2 linked regions of the Coturnix japonica genome follow. The protein of the gene in region 2 interacts with the protein of the main gene of each other region in a pairwise test. Links are inferred from orthologs where the notes say so. Each region holds a gene or a part of one and is shown on either strand. Other genes may lie near its edges. The genes, in order: VIPAS39 and VPS33B.

Region 1 (2,957 bases), on a different chromosome or scaffold from region 2:
GGGGGAAGGCTAAACTAAAGTGGGCCTGAAACTAGCTAGCTCTGTTCTATAAGCCACCACTACACTCCCAGGAGGAGGGGGTTGAAAAGGAGCCCTGAGGTCAAGGACCAGGCAAGCTGTTGTGACATCTGTGGCACTGGTGTGAGTTGCTGCAAAGCAGCTCAGCAAATTAAGAGCTGATACCCAGCATATCAAGCCCCACAATGACACCAAGCTCAGGGAAAAGTCAGCATGAGGATGAGGAAGCACTGCATTCTACACACTGGGCTTGGGATTAGTAGGCACAGCCTGCTGTACTTTGCTCCTAACCTACCACAGGTGAGGTATCCAGGACCCAAGCTTGGGGAATGCAGGTGAGATTTATTCTTGGGCTTAATCATATTCCTCCAAGGACATGTTCAGCTTTGCCTGCTGCTCCGTTGTAAAAAACACAACCAGCAACAACCCAGCAATTCCTGGCCTGGGGCACATGGATAAGCCCGGCAGAAAGCACTGCCCTAACCAGCAGCATCCTGGCTGTGTTAGGAAGAAAGGCACCAACAAGACAAAGATGGTCCATCCTCTGCACCCAGAGCTGTGTGTCCCATTCTGGACACTTCAGTGCAAGAGAGGCACAAACATATTAGAGTCTAGCAAAGGGACTAAGGGACTGTAGCAACTTTGAGAGGCTGAGAGCCACGACTGGTCAGCCTGAAAAGGCTCAGGGCAAGACTCATCAAGGCATGAAAAGAAACTTAGATGCTCATTAATGGTGCTCTGTGACAGAATGAGACAGTGGGCTCAAATCAAAACATGTGAGATTCTATATGAGCACAATACTTTTTTATTTATTGTTTCAACAGTGAGGATGGTCAAATACAGGAACAGATTAAATTAGGCTGAGGAGCCAGTATCTCCAACTGTGAGACACTGAAACTGGAGACAGTCCTAGTCCTGGTCCACCTGCTTCAGATGACTATTCCTAAGCAGAGGGAGCAGACAGATGATCATGAAATCCCTTCCAACCTAAACATGCCTATGATTCTGTGGGGAAAGAAAGCCAACAAAAAACAAGAGTGATTATAGAAACTGAGAGCGCACTTGGTGCACAGTGCAGCAGGGATGCTGGAGCCACACCTGCCCTCAGGTGTACATGGCTGTACATGGCCTTCAGCTCTGTGTGAGCACCTCCAAGGCAGCAAATGGTCTTGAAACACTGAAATGAGTTAATCTGTAGCGTGTAGGTGTGAAATAACACACTGCTGCAGGCAAGGCTTCTTCACAGTGATACTGTGCATTTCAGGGTATGATAAAACACCCTGCATACTCACTTTGATGGAGGTGCGACAAATTACTCGGGATCAGCACAGAGCTGCAAAGTGCATAATGTGGGAAGGAAATAAACAGCCTGAGGAGAAAGAGAGAGCTTTATTTAAGGAATTGAAGAGAAGTCTGGAAGGATGAAACCAGCAGTTGCCTGAGGAGCTTTGTCTCTGAGAAAGTGCAATTCAGTCCTTCCTGGGATCATCAGGTTTGTGCTGAGAATGGTCCCTTCTTGCTCTGACCAGCTCCATACATCACGCCCACTCTTCTCTGATGAAGGGATCTGCCGAGAGCTGCCAAGTGCCAGCATAGGGATACTGGCAGATGCTGCTGCACCAGCTCTCTGTGGGAGTTCATAAAACACCTCTTTCTCTGGTGTGAGCCACAACAATCCAAAGGCTTCAAGGTGCAGCTGACCCTTTCCCCCTCCACTCTCTGATGCAGGGAGAACGCAGTCCAGTAGGCCTTGTCACCCACAGCCATGACTGGTGATGCCCAAGCCAGCCTGAATGTTACAGGGACTGGTCAGTCAGCATTGTCTACTGGAGATCCATCAGTGACTGATCTGTTCCTCTTACTAGAATGAGCCCAGACACCACAATAAGCAAACATAACTTTGCCTGGTCCAGCAACTTCCCTCTGTAAACAAAAGCCATGACTGTCCTACAAACAGGTCAAAGAGAATCAGATTCCAAAAAGAATCAACCCTCATTGATTGATACCACGGTTTCACTGGCTGCATCAGAGCAGTTGCCTTCAACCAGCCTGAATACTTCAGTGCCACGAGCACCCAGTGTCACTGACAAACACTGATCATGCAATGAGTAGTAACAGAGTTGCTCTGTTGATGCTGGACCAGCTTTTACAGTTTCCTTTTGTACTGGCAAGGTAACGGCCAAGCAGGTTGCTTCACTGGTGCTCAGTTCTTCCACCGGATTTGCTAAAAGAGAGAACAAAGTATGACTAACATCAGACTGATCACAGTTCACTTCAGGCTGAATTAGCAAGGCCCAGACCATGAAAAGGGCAACCATGGCAATAAGCTGCTACTTCTATCAGCATCACCCTTCGTTCTTGGACTGAATGCAACCCCAAACATAACATTAACTTCCCAGCAGAGAGAAAAGGATGTAGGAGTTATGTCCTTACTGCACTCTCAGCCTACGGCTGCCTTCGATAAGATCCTAAAAAAAGTAGGTGCTTCTTACCATGTTATTGAGTAGGCTGTTTATCTTCTCTTCTTCTGCAGAGCCCCGCTCCACCTTGCATTTATATGCCATCAGCTGGATGCGATCCTTTAGATCCCTGTACGTCTAGACAAACAACAAAACCAGCATCCAGTGAGGAAGACACTTCATCACAGTTAGATGGTGCCCTGTAGATGAGCAGGTGTCAACATCTCAACCTCCCTTCAAGTTCCAATCAATAGCTTAGGTCTGCAGAGTCCATTTGCACAAGCAGACAGGCCTGGGCACAGCACAAACTCTAGGAGTCACGCTCCTGGCTCACTTAGCTTTCACTAAGAACAATATGCTGTTCCCAAGCCACAGGAATAAGAAAACTCCTCAAGGTGCATGACAGAAGAGTGACATGGGAAAGTTAGGGAGAAAAAACAGGCTTTTGTCTCCTTTCTTCATACACACAGCAAAGACTTA
Region 2 (4,594 bases):
CGTTACAAACCACCAGCCATAGGCAGGGATACTGCCCACTAGACCAGGCTGCCCAAGACCTCATCCAGATTTATAAGCACATTTAAGGACGGGTCATCCGCAGCCTTTCTAGGCAGCCCATGCCAGGGCCTCGCTGCCCTCATAGACAAGAAGTCCTTCCTAATGTCTAATCTTAACCTACTCTCTAAGGTTAAAGCTCCTACCGTGTGCTCCACCACCATGTGCCCCTTTAAAAAATGCCCCTCTTTCTTACAAGCCCCTTCTCACATACTGCAAAGCTGCAATAAGGTCTCCCCAGATCTGCTTTGCCCCAGCACTAGTGACATCCCTGCAGAGATAAGTAACGCTTACTCTGCTGTTTGTTCAAACAGATCTTCAGCACTGTCCCATGCCAGGACCAAGCACAAACCTCAGGAGAGCCCCATGTCTCCCCATCACTGATGCCACCACTTACCGCACTTGATGCGGAAGGTGTCATCCACCAGCCCCTCGTACACCACCTGGGAGCACAGCGCTGTGACGTAGTCAATGTCTGCAATGAGAGGGTCCTCATTTACTGCCCATGCAGTTCCCCCTGCCAGGCCCAGCCCTGCTGCCTCTCGCTCCAGCCAGTGCCAGCCCTTACCTCTGTCCATGAGGAAGATGTTCCCAATCTCTGCCTTTCTCCCCTGCCCATCACTCTCGCTCTCCTCCTCCAGGTCTCGCCACAGCTCGTAGCACATCTGTGAGGGGAAAACTGTGCCAATGCCTGTGACAGGGCAGCCCTCGGTCCTCTAAGAGCTGCAGCCACAGCTGGGGCTGGGTGTCAGCGCAGTCCCCAGCCATGCAGGGGGTGCTGTTGCAGCTCCCACTGTGCAGCCTCAGCTCAGGCACAGTGAGTGAATGGGGCACTCCACCAACCTTCATTCCAGAGGTGAGAGCAGGGCATAAGCCCTACCATACCCACCTTGGCACACCTCCCAATCCCATAAGCCCTGTTGAATGGCCCATACAGGGAGTTCAGCAGCTGCAGGGCTCGAGCAACTGAGTTGATCCAGCGGTGATCTCCCTCCTGTAGGGAGCACAGCAGCATTAATACGTGGTTCTGTGCAGGCTGGACTGGAAATAACTGCGTGCACTGGGGGCCTCAATCAGACACAAAGAGAGGCTGGGGGTCGGTGGGCTCGGTGCCACTCCACACGCATAGAAACAGGCTGGGTGCCCAATGCCGCTCAGGAGGAGCCACCACAGCACGTCCGAGTGGCTGCCCCAAGCAAAATCCTCCCCAAGGCAGCAGGCAGCGGCCTGCAGTGCGGGCTGGGAGGCCCGAGCAGGACATCCTGAACAAAGCCCTCCCCTGGGCCCAGAGACAAGCAACAGAAGGGCAGCCATCCCACAGGCAGAACGCAGCAGACCATCCCTACTGACCAAGAAATAGTCCCGGAAGAACTCAGGCAGCTCCATACTGATGATATCTTCATCCAGGGGGAGCAAGTAGAAGGACCATTCATCACAGGTGACATCTGAGCGCGGGACAGGAAAAGGCAGCGGTCAGCCCCAGGAATCCCAGCAGCTCCTCACGCTGAGGAGGCAAACACAGATGGGTCCCCTCCAGGGGGACTCATCCTTTCCTCTGCCCAGGCGGGGGCAGAACTGCTGCTCCTCTCATTAGATCCCGGTACTGGGGATGTGTCGGTCATTGTGCTGCGAGGGAACAATGTGGGACACCACAGTCCTACTCACCACCATAGACACCCTCTTCCTCCAGCACCATCTCACAGGCGTAGAACTGCAAAACAAGACAGGATCCTCAGTCACGCTCCACCAGAGGCAGGGAAACAGCTCCCTGTAGTGGACAGGATGATCTTCTGCCCAGACACAGCACCTGACTTCAGCACAGCAGCTCTGCTAAAGAAACAGCTTCCAATTGACAGGGTCAGGGCAGGGCACGGGGCAGAGCAGCACTGACCTTCTGGGGGCTGAAGATGATCTTGTATTTGCGGCTCCTTCCTGACATCTTGTCAGCATTGACGATGTCTACAAACGACACGTGCAGACCCTGTAAGCGCCGCCCAGCCCCGAACAGCCGCAGTTTGTGGTGCAGGATGGGGGCTGGGCACCGGGGCAGGAAGGACCCGGGAGCGGGGCCGTGGTGCAGCCCAGGAGCAGCGGCCGCTGCTGGGGGTGCGGTCAGTGCGGCGCGGGGTGACACACCCGGCACATCCCGACCCGCTGCTCCAGCGATGGGTCGGGCGCTCACCTGCGATGTATCGCATGGTCCGGACCCGCGGCCGCACGAGGAAACAGAGCCTGGGGACAGTGCGACGGGGTGAGAGTGAGACAGAGACGGGACTGACCGAGACGGGACTGACCGAGACGGGACTGACCGAGACGGGACTGACCGACGGCCGGCACCGACTGAGAGCAGCGGCAGCCCCGCCCCGAGTCCCGGCGCGTCCCGGTGTTTCCACTCACTGGTCGCTGGCGCCGGGTCCCGGCCGCGTCTCCACCCGGTACAGCTTGTCCACCTCGTGCTGCTGCGGGGCATCGCGCGGGGCCGTCAGCGGGCGGCACCGGCGGCACCGAGCGCGGCCCCGGCCCCCGCGGTACCTTCAGCACCGACACGTTGGCGATTCGGTCCAGGGGACTCATCAGGTCGGGCTCGATGAACAGATCCTTCCTGCCGGGCAGCTGCGGGCGGGGCTCGGTGGGACGGAGCCGGGAAACCCCCCGCCCGGACCCGACCCCCCCCCGGAGCCGCCCCCGGCCCGTAACGGCGCCCCCCGCCCGACCTGCTCCAGCAGGTGGATGAGCTGGTCCCGGGCCAGGCGCTTCAGGATCCCGAAATCGGGCGGGTCGGGAGCGTCGCGCCGGGAGGAGCCGGACACGGACACGGACATGGCGGAGCGGGACACGAAGGGACCGGAACGGAACTGCGGGAACCGGGGAGCGACGGAACATAAACAGTGAGGGACTCACGCGCCGGAAGCGCTGATGTCACGTGACCGCGCGCCGGAAGTGCCCGCAGCGACCGGGAAGGAGACGAGAAACGGCCCCGTTCAAAGCGTTTATTGCCCCGTTCGTTCATCGCCCCGTTCGTTCATCGCCCCGTTCGTTCATCGCCCCGTTCGTTTATTGCCCCGTTCGTTCATCGCCCCGTTCCCGTTCCCACCCCTCGCTCCTCCAGCAGTTCCTGTAGCGCCGTTTCCATGGCCGGGCTCGTCCCGCGCAGCCCTTCCAGCACTTCCGCCGTCCACCGGAAGTACTCCTGCACGCGCTCCTCGGACCACCCTGCGGGGACACGCGCTGCGTCACTTCCGGTGCCGGTCGGTACCGGGCGTTTCCGGGATCGGTGTGTTCGGACCTTGTGGCACGTGCCGCCGGATGTCCCGGATGTTGTGCAGTTTATCGGCCAGTTTCACCAGCTTTGCCCGCTCGCTGCTCCCCGCCGCCATTTCCACCTGCCGCCGTTTCCGCTCCGCTTTGGGCAGCGCTTTGTCGTCCGTCAGCTCCTGCACCACGTGACGCACGTCGGGCCCGAAGCGCCGCTCGATCTCGGGCAGCGTCGTGTCCGTGTCCTCAACCGTGTCGTGCAGCAGCGCGGCCTGACGGGACCGGGACGGGGACACGGGATATGGGATACGGGGACACGGGACCGGGACGGGGGACGTGGGGATACGGGACACAGTGTCGGGGTATGGGGACATGGGGACACGGGACCCGGTGTCGGTCCGTCCGGTCGGTCCGGTCCCCCCGGTGCGGCCCCGCGGCCGGTACCTGCAGCACCACGATGTCGGTGACTCCCGCCTCGTGCGCCAGGATCCGCGCCACGCCTGGAACGGGACACAGCGGGGGGGGGGTCAGGGCACGTTCCGCGTCACGGCCGGACCGGGCGGGTCAGGGCGGCGCGGCCGCACCGATGGGGTGGTTGATGTACGGGGTCCCCGCCGGGTCCTTCCGCCGCTGCTCCCGGTGCTTCCAGGCCGCGAACTCCGCCGCGTCCAGCAGCCGCGCCACGTCCGACGCCATGTCGGTACCGCGGGCTGCGCCGGCGCGACGGGAAACGCGCAAATAAACGTCCAACGCTTTATTGCGGCCCGCCCCGCCCCCGCGGCACGCGGTACAACAACGAACCGTCCGGGCCGCGCACCTCGGTGCCGCCGTGCGGAGCCGGGTCCGGCCCCGGTTGCTGCGGGGCGGCGCGCAGCGCTCGCGCGTCCTGTCGCAGGCGGCGGCGCGGGGGGACGCAGCTCCGGCTCCGCAGCACCCGGTGAACCACGTCCAGGCTGACGCCGAAGCCCTCGGCCAGGCGCTGCGGCGGCCACTCCTCGGGCAGCTCCTGCCGCAGGAACCTGCGGGCACGGACCGATCACCGATCACCGCTCCGTTACCGCTCCGTTACCGCTCCGTTACCGCTCCATCCCGGCCCGGCCCCTCACCGCATCTGTTCCATCGCCTCCCAGGTCAACGTCCGCTCGGGGGCGCCGCGTCCCGCTCCCAGCTCCCGCCGCGCCGCCGCCCGCCGCCTCCGTGCCCTGCGGGGAGACGCGTCAGCGCCCGCAGCTCCCGGCCGCGGTTCCGCCCCGCCGGGCCGCACCTCTCGGCCTCAGCCAGC

The links.
Region 1: the proteins of VPS33B (region 2) and VIPAS39 interact in binary tests that used the Homo sapiens proteins (3 or more experiments, as listed by UniProt). The link is inferred for Coturnix japonica from reciprocal best matches to the Homo sapiens genes VPS33B and VIPAS39.

Annotation. Positions count from the first base shown.
Region 1 is NC_029520.1:35,566,657-35,569,613, forward strand, and holds the end of VIPAS39 (spermatogenesis-defective protein 39 homolog), read right to left. Parts: intron 2,616-2,957; coding exon 2,511-2,615; intron 2,243-2,510; coding exon 2,222-2,242; 3' UTR 1,786-2,221; coding exon of another isoform or gene 1,720-1,785; 3' UTR 806-1,719; downstream 1-805.
Region 2 is NC_029525.1:18,204,375-18,208,968, reverse strand, and holds the start of VPS33B (vacuolar protein sorting-associated protein 33B), read right to left. Parts: upstream 2,933-4,594; 5' UTR 2,880-2,932; coding exon 2,772-2,879; intron 2,671-2,771; coding exon 2,590-2,670; intron 2,517-2,589; coding exon 2,455-2,516; intron 2,424-2,454; exon of another isoform or gene 2,367-2,423; intron 2,290-2,366; coding exon 2,240-2,289; intron 2,017-2,239; coding exon 1,949-2,016; intron 1,769-1,948; coding exon 1,723-1,768; intron 1,503-1,722; coding exon 1,408-1,502; intron 1,052-1,407; coding exon 947-1,051; intron 723-946; coding exon 626-722; intron 533-625; coding exon 455-532; intron 1-454. Other genes in the region: HDDC3 (guanosine-3',5'-bis(diphosphate) 3'-pyrophosphohydrolase MESH1), read right to left, coding at 3,128-3,270, 3,344-3,584, 3,757-3,812, 3,897-4,008; tubulin polyglutamylase TTLL6, read right to left, coding at 4,444-4,514. UniProt on the Homo sapiens protein: May play a role in vesicle-mediated protein trafficking to lysosomal compartments and in membrane docking/fusion reactions of late endosomes/lysosomes.